2 linked regions of the Drosophila melanogaster genome follow. Each later gene encodes a partner of the first gene's protein in a complex. Each region holds a gene or a part of one and is shown in the gene's direction. Other genes may lie near its edges.

Region 1 (6,381 bases):
TACAGCAGCTCTACGAGATTAAGGGTCGCGATGAACACAAGCCCGTGGCCATCTGCGTTCACAACATCGATGCGTTGCGACGCTTTGGTCAGGCTGCCCATCTCAGCGACGAGCTGCTAACTCGTTTGCTCCCGGGCCCCCTGACCATCGTGATCGAGCGGACGTCCCAGCTGAGCAACCGTTTCCTTAATCCCAGCACCTCCAAAATCGGCATACGCATTCCGGACTTCAACTTCATGCGCGACCTGTGCGCCGTGTGGCAGGAGAAGCCCCTGGCCCTGACCAGCGCCAATCGCTCCAGTGCGCCCAGCAGTCTGCAGGTGTCCGAGTTCCGTTCCCTATGGCCCCAATTGGGCGCCGTCTTCGATGCCGGTCGAATCGGTCTGACCGAGGAGCGACGACTGGCCTCCACGGTCATTGACCTGGCCACTCCTGGCTACTATGAAATAGTGCGCGCCGGCGTGGCTCTCAAGCCGACACTCAGCCTCATGGAGGAGTTCGGCATTCGGGAGCTAAAAATGATGTAGTATAAGAGCTATTCCTTTGGCTTTAACTTTAATTTTTACTTTGGAACATCCTACTTTGCTTTGCATGCGGGAACACAACAAATTGTTTATAAAATATACGGTTCAGTATGTACACAATTGGAACTATCTTGGGCGCAGGCTCTCCGCCAGTTGGTCAGTCTAGTTGTAGTAGTTGCTGGAGTTCTTGGAGGCCTGTATGGGTCTCCGTCGCCGCGGCAGTTCGTTCTCCAGTATTCGCCAGCGTTCCGGTGGCCACACGATGGCCACTGCCCGCGCGGACATCAGGCCCAGGGCGACGGGTCCAAAGGTATTGCTGTCCATGGAGTGGCCTGTGTGATCGCCCTCCACCCAACAATGTCCTTCGGGTACGCGAACGATCTCGTGCTTGTAGCCCAGCGTGGACACGACGTCGCCCTGCAGCCCCACCACGCGCTTGATAATCTTCTGGGCGGGATCCTTGGGTGAAATGAGCGATATTATGTCGCCGCGCTCCACCTGACTGTTGTGGGTGCCCCAGCGCAGCAGGAACACATAGTCCTTTTCATCCGGCACGGGATTGAGAGCGGGCTGCATGGAGATGCCTGCAAAAAGTTGTGGATTAATTAGCGCACACTAACATGGAGCGAATAAACTCCGGACGACTCACCATCCACCCTGGCCACATAACCAACGCAGTCCAGGAAAGTGACGCCAAGTGGCAGAGCGTACAGCAAGGACTTGCCAAAGAACCGAAATGCCATGGATGAACTGGTTGGAGAGCGGAGCTATCGAGATGAATACATAACCACCAGCCTTTTGCCGAGTTCCTTGTGCGCTCCGGATCTTATGACATTCGCAGCGCAGCGCCGACACGGGTTTTGTTTATGCTAAATACAGGGTGCTTCAATAAAGGCGATGCAGAGGTTCTTGAGCAGATTACGTTTATTGAGGAAGGATATTTGCCAGCTATTGTACTTTAGTTACAGGTGTTTTTTTCCGTTTTGGGTTTATTGTAATTTTGACAGAAACAGGAATGTGACTGGGCAATCGTTCAGCAGCCCTCCAGCTCGCTGGGAATGGGTATCTCGTTCTGGATGGCGAACTGCAGCAGCGCCTTGTACTTGTTCTTCCAGTTGGACACCTCGCGGCGCACCTGCTCGTTGTCCTCGTGCATCTGCTCCAGTTCCGTCCACTCGTACGACTTCTTAGTCTCCAGCTCGTCCTTCTGTTCGATTCTCTTGATGCGGCAACTGGCTGCGTATCCGCGATTCTTTAAGGTTCTCCGGCGCTGCTTCATCCGAACGATCTCCTCGCGGTTCAGGCCACGCATCTTGAGGGTCCGATTAAGATCCCTTACCGAAATGCTCACCAAATCGTCATCGGTAATATCCGGAATTGGACATGGCGAAAGTGGTGCCTGAAAATCGCACTTCTATCAGGGTTTTCTTTCTTCTTCGCATATATCTACAAGGTACGTACCAGGGATGACTTTCTCTCGCGCTTTGCTTCCATTGTGGCCGATTGTATTTTATTTTTACGGAGACTTTTAGAATTTGCTAGATTTTTCTACCTTTTTTTTTTGCGTTGTTATTGTGTGTCTTCTTCTTCCTCTCTACCTGCTGGTTGCCATTCACAGGAAATGGATTGCATAGAGTTGGCAGATAGACAAAAAACGTCTGTGGTAAATAGCGGGTAATTTAAATATACTAAAGCTAACGTGATCCCTAGATTTTAGGCTTTGTAGCATAAGGTACTTAGTTATATTTTTAAATTATTTATATAAAGCAGATCCAGATTTTTGTTATAAATACAAGTTCGAAAATAACAAATTTATATTTTAATTATTATCAATTTTAATTAACTGTTAAGTTCCGTGCCTTCCAGGTGGCATCGCTGGCAAAGTTTAAGAAGCTGCCTAACACTAACAGCTTTACAGAAGTTTTTTCCCCGAACGACGCCAACTGTTAGCGGGAAATATTCCTTCATCCTGCAGATGCCAAGTCCTTATTGTTCGCCATGAACTCGCAGGTGATGTACCACAATGTGCCCACACCGCCGGGCAACGTATCTTTGGCGGCCGCTGCTCCCGACGGCGGTTTGCTGTACGCCGGCATTCGCTGCATCAACTACATATCCGCGCCGCCGGCAAACGGAGAGCAGCCCCAAGTGGTGACCATGTCGACGCGGATCAACATACTGGCCCTGGACGTTAGTCCCATGTGGGGCTTGGGCAACGGTGGGCCGACCAAGCCATTCGCCATTGTGGGCGACGATCTAAGCGTTCAGGTGTGGGACTGCGCATTGGGCGAAGCCGTCATCGGGCACAAGGCCCATCAGCACCAGCACGAGGCGCGGGATGTGCGCGTCGTGCACCACACTACCAACTCCGTGCTGATGAGCTACCTGGCCAATGGTAACATTCTATCCATGGACGCCAGTGATCTGGTCATCTATTGTGTGGCATCCAACACCTACTGCCGTCGCTCCACTTTCATCTCGCCCCGAAATCACCAACTCACTATGGTGCGCTGCTCGCCCTACAATGACAATTTGTTCGCTGTGGGAACGGCTATGGGTAATGTGCTGGTCTGCGATCTGCGCAAAATGAACATCGTCTACAAGTTCCACGGCCACAAAGCGCCCATATGCGGCTTAGCCTGGCGGGAGGTGCCTGCTGCCGAGGACGAAAAAACCAATAATCTGGCGTTAAGTGCTGAAGAGTGGCGAAGCCGCAATGGCGGCCAGGAGGAGAAACCCAAGACAAAGCCACCACCACTGACCAAATCGAAGGCAGCCGAATCCGACGACCCTTTCGACATATACAACTTTGATCATCTTGAGTACGAGTTCGGTGCACCTATAGCTGAACGCCGCCGCAAATCTTCAGAGGATTGTGGCGGCGAATTTGTGGGTCTAGAGAAGCCAGCTGGTGCCGCTGTCTTAGATTTCGTTGAGGCCTGCGAGAGTGTGAAAGCCGAACTCTTAGCCAGTCGCCAGGAGGATAAAACGCAGCACGTGGAGGTCACGCTGCATGACTGCGAGCCCACAAAGCCTACGGGTCCCTTAAGTGATGCCAGCACCATTAGCAACAAGAACGATGCCAGCGACTCGACCGAGGGCAGTCTGGAGGTCATCCAGTACAGCTCGTCCAGTGATGATGCCGTGATCGTCGATGGCGAGGCAGCAAAGCCCAAAAGAGAAGTATTGCATCACATCTACCACCAGGCCGAGGTACATGCTTCAGGAACACCGCAGACCAAGTCTGAGCCTCAGAGTAATCTCCAAGTTGTGCCGGCCATCAGCGCGGAGACCATCAGCTTGACATCCGTGAACAGCACCCACTTGGAAACTCTGCTCGTGTCCATTGACGGCGATGAGGTGATGATGATCTGGAATACCAATACGGGAGCGCATGCTGGCAAGAACTACAGCAAAAGCAAGACGGCGGGTAAGTGGAAAGAATCAAACCATTGAAAGCAAGCATTCAACTGGGATCTTTTCTTCAGGCAAGCTTAACAACGTCTACTGGCTGAACAACCATGTCATTGTTTCCCTGAGTCGCCATCAGTTATTCTTTTGGTCCGTGGAGTTCGAGCGCAAGATGCTACGCTACAAGATCAGCAAGGATAAATCACACAGCTGCCATTTGCAAGACATCGTGTCCTTTGCCTGTGACTCCAGCAAAGAGATGATATGGTTGTGCAGAAACAATCGCCAGATTGGAATGATGAATCCTAAAACTGGCCGGATGGCTGACTTTTACGGAACAGTGGCGTTTGGAGTGCGAGCGATGGCCGAGTGTCCAGATGATATGAACAAGTAAGCTAATAAGATAATATGCCATTCGCAAACGTTGCTAAACTGTTTTTCGTTTAGAATCGCTTTGGGTTGTTCGGATCGCCGTGTGGCCTTCTTCGATATATCGAAGCTCACCACCAGCTGCCTGCCCATCGACAGCGTTTATGTGTCCAGCAACGTCTACTGCCTGGCTTGGAGTCCAAACTGCTTGGAACTGGCCTTTGGCACCTTCGACGGAACGGTATGGCTTTGATTTCGTCTATTTTATTGGATATTGAACCTAAATATACAACTCAACAACAGGTGGGCATCCTGGATGTGGAGCGCATGAAAGTAAAGACACACTTACGGACGCCGCACAAAAAAGAAGTCTACTCGCTTGTGTGGCAGGACCACTTTATATACTTTATTGTGAATCGTGTTCTAGGTTTCTTTGATTTAAGAAAATCGAAAATCGGTGAGTATATGTTCTTAGCCGTTCTCTACTTATGTTGCCGACAGTTGTAGGTTTGATTCTGTGCGTTGCGCCTTCCGTAACTAATGTTGGTCTGCGCGTCGTTGGTCTGCTTCTTACGTATATTGGCCAAGTGGATTGTCTCCCGATGATAATCCCACGCATTCCATGTTACGTTTATCCAGTTTGCTGGCGTTAGGTCGTTGGTGACGACCATTTCGGTTTGACACTCAAAATCTGTCTGCTTTGGTGGCTCAACTACCAGATTCTGCAGTTCCTGCTCTATTAGCGCATCGTCCAATTTGAACAGCAGAGCCAGGTTCGCATTGTTGAAAACCACTTTTCTAAAGGCGGCTATGAAAGGCTCAAATCGCAGCTCCGCGAATCGAGCGTATCTTGGGTCCCGGAAACCAAATGTAATGTCCACATTGGAGCACAGCTTTCTGGTCACCTGGGCCGGCATAAGCAGGCCGTTGGTAATGGTCATGGCTAGAGAGCAAAACTCCTTTATATCTGCCTTGTTGAGCTTGCAAAAGTTGCCATCGGTCTGCAACTCCTTCACGGCATCCATGCGTTCCTCAAAGCTGCAGACCTTGGGCTTCTTTATCCGCTTATGAAGCGCCTGCAGCTCGGCAATCGTAGCCTTTGTCAGGGTCATCAAGTCGTCGACGACCAATGCCTCCACCTGCTCCCTCAGCTTGTTTAACTCAACAATGTGGTTCAGGTAGTTGTTCAGATTGCCCCACACCTGAGAGAGGTACACAAAGTGCGGCTGAAAGCGGGAAACGAAATTGGAGAAATTCTCATCTTTTAAATGAATACATCACTTACAAATATAAGCTCCGAATCAATAGCCGTGCGCATGGATAGGGTATCATCAATCTTGCAGATCACGCATTGATATCGCTTATGCTCCACTTCAATTAGGTACACTGTCTTCTGGTAATGTTCGTTCAGAGTCGTCAGACAGCGATGGAGCATAAAGTAGGTCGCCGCAAACTGGTTAAGCCGATCCAAATGTTCGAGGGGCACGCGGTAGGTCAAGGTCTCGTCCTTATGATCTATGTTTATGAGGTCATCCAGTGCCGCCTGGCAAGTGGACTGCATCTTGACCGCCCTTCCCATACTGGCTGCAAATGCGGCTTCCGTGTTCTTCTGGGCCATTTCCAGATCATCGACCACTAAGAAGTATACAGCAGATATGAAATATGAAATGGTTTGCCCTATATGCACATACCGCTTCTAACATTCTCCCGATCTCCATCGGGGCCATCGTTGTTATAGATCACAATGCCGCCCACGGTCGCCGACAAGCGTTGAAGATACTCTAGCCGATGGTACTTCTTCTTCAGGACATAATTCTGTAGGTCACTTCGACCGATGACGCTGTTGAGAGCCTGGGCAGTCAGCTTAAGCAGAACATGATTCTTGGGCGAGCCCAGACTGTAGCAGGCCACTATGAAGACCTGCATCTTTGCGAAGAGCTGGTCCAACTGCACTTTACTGCAAGTCTCGGGATACTGAAGGATATCCTTGATTAGCAGCTGCAGTTCGGTTTGGAACTTTTCCTCGTACTTCTTCTTGACGTATTCAAGGTCTATGGTTACTCCCTTTTTCATTACC
Region 2 (6,381 bases), on another chromosome or scaffold:
CCAGCAACAGATAGTTTTTCTCGGTGTAGTTTGGACTTAGTTGCAGCTTGTTTGCAGCATGTCAATGAGCACAATTTCTGCAGCCTCCTCCACGTGCCCGCATTGGAGGATGCCCAGTTCAGTGGCCGCCAGTCCAGAGTTCAGAGTTGCAGCATATTTTCCGAAAAGTGTGATAAATTTTCCGGCCAATGGCTTCCGACCGGCGCTGTATAGTGTGTCAAATAAGTGTATATCCATTGCTTTATTCTCTTGCTTTATACATACATTTGGTTTGCCGCTGCTTATGTTTGAGTGTGAGTGTGTTTGGTTGGGTGAGTTGTTAAGTAATTTGTGCAAAATTTAATTAAGGCTAAGTTAACCCTAGGCTGTATACATCGGCGCAAATAATTCCGATATACACATACATATATCATGTGTGTGCCTACAGTGCGTTTCAGAACCATAAGAATATTGTGCAGTTGCAGGTAAAGCCATATAAAGTCAGCTACCGAATTAACTTATTAAACAAACATATATGTAAATAGATTTTAGGAGCTTTAATCTTAAAAATGAAATTGCATTAAGTAAGGTTTTACATCTCATTTCGAGAGTTGACTACGATTTTCTTCTTATAGCTATGACACGCACTTTTCAAACTAGGGTGGTTCGATTGCTAAATAGGCAAAAATAAATATACTTTAACTGAAAGTTATTTGATCCCGACTCGAATCGAATGAACATAATGAGCTAACATTAACAAATTAAATTATTGTCTTGTCTGAATCTTAGCAAAAATGCCAGATCCCGGGGTTTCTTAGGCAAAACGAAAACAAATATTTGACCCATGGCCTTAGAGTTAAGTATCTTTTAAAAAAATATCGAGATATGGCAAATGGATTTTAAGGTCATAAGCTTAAATACAGAACCGTTCCACCCTGACGTTAAACAATTAAGTTCGTTCCATATTTGCCGAATAGGCTATGCTATCTATCGAATACTTTGGGTCAATACCTGGGCGGCAATTGGATTGCGAATCGCTCAGGATCAGAACATGCCATCCGATCGGGCGACGGGTATGAGCACGATGAGGAAGATGACGAAATTTCGCATGACCAGACGCCAGTCGCTGGGCACCGCATACGGCAGCAGGATTTGGGTGAGGCGGTGCACCTCGTGCGATGCGCACACAAATATGAACGATGTAATGATCATGTTGAGCGTCGGGAAACCGGGCAGCAGCACCAGAACTCCATGCCGATCGGCGGCCAGCCAAATATGATACTGGCAGACGAACAGCTCCAACGAGATGCGGCCAAACCAGGCGAAGAACGCCGAGTATCGTGTACGTAGAATACCCGAAATGTTCCTGAGGACCACATAGCCCACAATCGGGATGAACAGTATATACGAATGGATCTCCTCACAGTTCTGAACGTTGCGGCAAAGGAACGAGAACGAAGTGTACACCCCGACGCCCAGCAGGGCCAGCAATGTGACTGATATTGATGTCCTTCGCGAAAACAGATTCCCATGGTTGTTGTCATCGAACACATTGTACTTTTGGGCAATGTGAAAGCAGGCGGCATATATCATGCCAAAGGCCACCGTATACCGGTCCAGTTTCCACTGATGCCACCACTCGTGCAGGTCGTCGTCAGTGGTCACAAACAACGCTTTCCACGGTCGCGTTACGAATATCCGTTCGAAGAATACCTCCGACATGAAGAGCACCGTGATGCCGCCCAGGCAACCAATGCACTTGCACACCAAATACAGATAGTGCAGCGGATTGGCGTCCACCGATGCGGACGAAATTCGTGGCGGCAGTGCGAGCACAAAGTATACGATGCACAGCCAAAAGGATAGTAGTGGCACAAAATAGTAGAACTGATACGGCCGGTTCATGCAGAAGCACAGCAGTACACTGAGAAAGTTTGCCCGGAACATGGCCTGGAAAAAGCGTACGAATAGGGAGCCACTGCCACCCGTTTGCCACATATGCGTGAAGTGCGTGTATCCGGTAAGGAAAAAGTATCCTGAGATCAACAGCTTAATGTGCATGTGAATGGGCAGCACTCGCTGTGCTCCGGTCATGTAATATATAAGCACCACCAGCAGTATCCAGCCACGCAGTTCATCCGTTTGATCGCGATTGAGCACCTTAGTGAACCGTGAATCTTCCGTAAAAAACAATCCGAGTGCGAAGACATAGCCCACTGGTATCCAGAAGCTAAACTCAGAATAGTATTTGTTCTCCTTCATAAAGAAGTTTGTGCGATCGCAGAGGTAGAAATAGGCCAAAATTAGGCCCAGCAGTGATAGCGCCACCATGGGAGTGCCATAGTCGGTTATCAGAGCGGATAAGGCATTGCTCGGTGATCCTCCACCTGCTCTTCCCCCGTCGTAAGATTGCTGCTGCTGCAGGGGCACATACAAAGTCTGGCCCCGCAGGTGAAGCACCCATCTGCGCAGACACATGCCACACACAAGCGCCATACAGACGCCAAACAAGGCGTATGCCACTATTTGCAGCGTGGTGTATGGCTCAGAACTGCTGCAGCAGGTGCCATCATTGTAGTTCATGTAGTCATTGCAGTACATGTTCCACAGTAGCTGAACCTCCAGTCGCTGGCCATGGGCGCACAGCTGATGACCATCGATGGCGTTGTCCAGCAAACCATTGGCTATGTGCCAGGCGGATTCCCAAACACTTGCCTCCGTGTAGCGAAAAACTCCTCTGGCCACATGGTTTAATCGATCGATTTGCTCGTTCTGGAGCAGCTTCCAGTGCGCGGGCAATTTCTCCTCGTCCACGCGGTCTGCTAGCTTCCAGAGGACCCGCGAAGTTTGCGCCACCAGGCGATGAAACGGAGCCACCAGCAATGTAAGATTGGCGGCATATTGCCGCAGCACATCGTCTGTGGTGTTGCCAGCGAGCAAGCCGGCATAGGTGAAGCCCACAACGTACACAGAGGACAGCTGCTTCTCAGACTCCAGACGGTACAGTTGCTCCACAAGCGACGGACTCACCTCCTCCGCCCGAATGTACTGGGCCAGCATATGCAGCTTCTTGTCCTCGAAACGGGCTGAGCCATCAGTCACCGAGGCGTTATTGTCCTCCTCGTCGGCCATTTCATCCGCGGCCAATGGCAGGCGAAGTTGCTCCACAAATCGTTCGTAGAGCAGCCGTATACTCTCGTCGCCAATGAACACAAAGTTGTTCTTGTTGTCGAAGAAGGCGAGGTAACGCAAACAGCGCCTTGTGTCACTGTAAATAATGAGAATTTCGGTTTGGGTGACTCATTAATTGGGGGGTTATCTTGTCGGGAATGTGCGTTGATTACTCACGTGAGGGAGTACTTGTGCACCATGCAACCGTACGGCTGCCACTCGTTGTCGCCCTTAAATCGGCCCTTGGACAGCAGCCACTGGCAGGAGTCACTGCCTGCGGGAGAACAAAACAAAACAAATCAATATCCATAATAAGCATACGATGGCAGCCAACATCCCAAATATGAACTTTACATGTCGTTTATATTAATCCAACCAACTGCAGAATTTGTACACTAATCTTAAAATTCGACATGATTATCTATATTTACATAAACGTTTGAGATTAAAAGTTTGTAAAAACCTTTTTTACTATTTAAAATGTACCGAATATGGTCAAACGTCAAACTGACTCATTAATAATATGAGAAGAATAAGTGAACATTGGTATACAATTGTGATCTTAAAATGGGTACGATTCCGTATCCACATCCATTATAAATTTCATAGTACTTAGATCTTTAAAGATCTTGTAACCTTGGACCCACCGTATTTCCAGTTGAGCAGGCCGTGATAGACGATGAAGCCGAGGACCAGAAGCAAAGCCACCTTCTTGGCATTGGTGGCGTTTAGTTGTTCCATAAATATATCCGCTCTGGTGGGCATACGCTGTCCTCCGGCGGCGCCTCCAATGCAGATGCCGCCTAGTTCGGGACTAGGGGCTCCATTCACTGACACTCCGGGGGTTCCGGTTGTAGCTGCTCCAATGCCTCCTACGCTTCCACCATTTCCACCGCGCAGTTCGCGTAGCTCCATAATTTATAAGCCGTCTGCCGCCTTCTCCACCGCCACCACCAAACGGTCTGCGACGGAAAGTCTGGCCTATAATATAGATAATTTGGCCTATTGCATGGGCATGTTTTAACCCAGTTCCGCTTGTTCCTTAGGCAGCGACCGACTCCTCCTATCGCTTGCTGTTTCGCTCTTGCTTGGCTTTTATTTTACTTTCCTTTAGCTTTTGCTTCGCCGGCCGATAGACAACCGCGTCTATCGACCGCCACCCACAACACAAAACTATCGACACCGAACAGCTGATTTGTCTGCATTGTGGGCGAACGGGAAAGATCGTTAATAATATCAATTATCAAATTTCGAAAAACACAATACTATACTTTATAGCAAATATACATTTATTTTTTTACCATTTAAGCATTAGCTTTTGCTTTGCCGGCCGTTAGGCAGCCGCGTCTATTGCCCTCCAACGCAATACAAGACTATCGATAACGAACAGATGATCTCTCAGCATTCCTGTCGAAAGGGAGGATCGTTAATAATATCAATTATTAATTATCGAATAAGGCACTACAATACTTAATTTATTTTTCAGCTAAAAATATTTACATATCATAGGAAAAAAATTAGAAATAAAGTTAAATAAATAGGAATAAATCTACATCAGAGAGTCCATAACAAAGCGAAATTTTTGTATTCGGGACATTTTCATTTTCAAAAAATATTCTTCGCACGCAAGATAAGTGGTACGCAACTATCGATTTTGGATAGTCATCTGACGAGAAGACGCACATAAAATTGAATTCGTTCGGAAAAGTTTTGACAAAACGCGAAGTTTCGGCAGCACTATGATAACTGCTAAGAAGCACCCGCTGGACAATTGCCAATTGTTTGTCCAGCTGAAGAAGTTATTTCATGACTACAACGAGAAGGTCCAGCGTCTGAAGGACATGATTTACTGGAGTGGTAAGTGAAGTACCAGAGGTTAGTGCCCAAATATGAACATTGTTTGTTCTCAGGAAACGATGAGCACATTGCGAAGATCTGCGACCAAGTGACGGACCTGCTGGTGGAGCACGATCTAATCATACAGCCGCCAGACACAATGGATCCTTGTGCTATGAATCACCTGCGTGGACTACTGGTGTACCTGGTGCTGAACACTGCACACGATGATATCCAGTGCGAATCGCAGTGGAGCGCCAATGTCATGCATTTGTGTAACCAGCTGCCGCCTATCCCACTGTTCTTGACCATCGCAATAGCCGTTAACTGCTGTCTCATGGAGCCGCTGGAGGAATTCCTTGCTTGTGGACCCCGCTGGCTGACCATCCAGTATTTTGAGGCATTCAATGAGGCTCTGTCGGTCATTAATTCAGATTGCGTGGAAACACTACCGCTGCTCTCTGCCGCCCTCAGAGCAGCCGGTCGCGCAATTGTCAACTGCAATTTGCCCGCAGAAAATAAGCAACTGCTGCGCCAGATAGCCTGCATGGAACATCGTCATATCTTGGACTCTAAACAGCGCCTCCATACGCTGCCGCGTCCATCCACTCGAAAGATTTACCTGGCCAAGGCTATGGATCACCTTATAGAAGTCCTTTTGTATACCCTCAATGATCCATTAAAGCGGGAGAAACCAAATTGCTTCGCCGTCTACAGCCAAATAACCGAGGACATCAGTGACAGCAACTCAAGCGATCCCATGCCTGATCTGCGGCATTTCGCCCAAATACTGCTAGACGTTCTGCAGCGTATCTTTCAGCTCGTTAGCGTAGACACGTATATGTATTGGCATGAAATGAAATCGAAAAGTGCTTTGTATAACTGCCAGGAGCTAATCTGTAGACAGACGGCAGAATTGCTTAAAGTACTCCAATCAGATAAGTTGCTCGGAGAGCATCCGGTTTGCAAGCAGATGCAGAGCTTTGCGGATGCAGCAAAAACATTGGAGCAGCGCGTTGCCGAGATGAGAATCGGTGAACTCTTGGCCTTTATCGATTCCGGTATGGCCACCAATGAGGAGTTGCTCGCCGGGCTGGACAATCTCTTTAGCCGCTTCATAGCCTTTGGCAGCGATGAGTGCCTGGAAACGATGGCAAATCATTTAATTATGCTCACCAAGAAACATGCCCAGATAATACTCAGTTTCCTGGGTCAGGTGGTGGAGTCCGAAATGGTGGTCGAGGACGAGGGCATATCCGTTACGGAAGTAAATCAGGGGGACGACGAGGACGAGACCTCGTCCAACGATGATTACGAAGAGCTGCTAAGCCTAGTACTGCGTCCCTTATTTATGCAATTAAATGTCGAGGACAAGATGGAAGTACTGCTATTACG

The links.
Region 2: rig (region 1) and Glos share a complex: the UniProt entries of both Drosophila melanogaster proteins name them as parts of the core survival motor neuron (SMN) complex.

Annotation. Positions count from the first base shown.
Region 1 is NT_033778.4:20,636,723-20,643,103, reverse strand, and holds the start of rig (rigor mortis), read left to right. Parts: upstream 1-2,422; 5' UTR 2,423-2,522; coding exon 2,523-3,954; intron 3,955-4,012; coding exon 4,013-4,325; intron 4,326-4,382; coding exon 4,383-4,545; intron 4,546-4,607; coding exon 4,608-4,761; exon of another isoform or gene 4,762-4,786; coding exon of another isoform or gene 4,787-5,530; intron 5,531-5,589; coding exon of another isoform or gene 5,590-5,939; intron 5,940-5,995; coding exon of another isoform or gene 5,996-6,381. Other genes in the region: Tcs1 (Threonyl-carbamoyl synthesis 1), read left to right, coding at 1-527; CG11110 (uncharacterized protein), read right to left, coding at 687-1,108, 1,174-1,267; maf-S, read right to left, coding at 1,558-1,938, 1,986-2,018; CG13436 (uncharacterized protein), read right to left, coding at 4,787-5,530, 5,590-5,939, 5,996-6,381. UniProt on the Drosophila melanogaster protein: Component of the survival motor neuron (SMN) complex that catalyzes the assembly of small nuclear ribonucleoproteins (snRNPs), the building blocks of the spliceosome, and thereby plays an important role in the splicing of cellular pre-mRNAs.
Region 2 is NC_004354.4:3,931,933-3,938,313, forward strand, and holds the start of Glos (gaulos), read left to right. Parts: upstream 1-4,584; 5' UTR 4,585-4,889; coding exon 4,890-5,007; intron 5,008-5,060; coding exon 5,061-6,381. Other genes in the region: CG2938 (uncharacterized protein), read right to left, coding at 1,024-3,247, 3,328-3,424, 3,798-4,065. UniProt on the Drosophila melanogaster protein: Component of the survival motor neuron (SMN) complex that catalyzes the assembly of small nuclear ribonucleoproteins (snRNPs), the building blocks of the spliceosome, and thereby plays an important role in the splicing of cellular pre-mRNAs.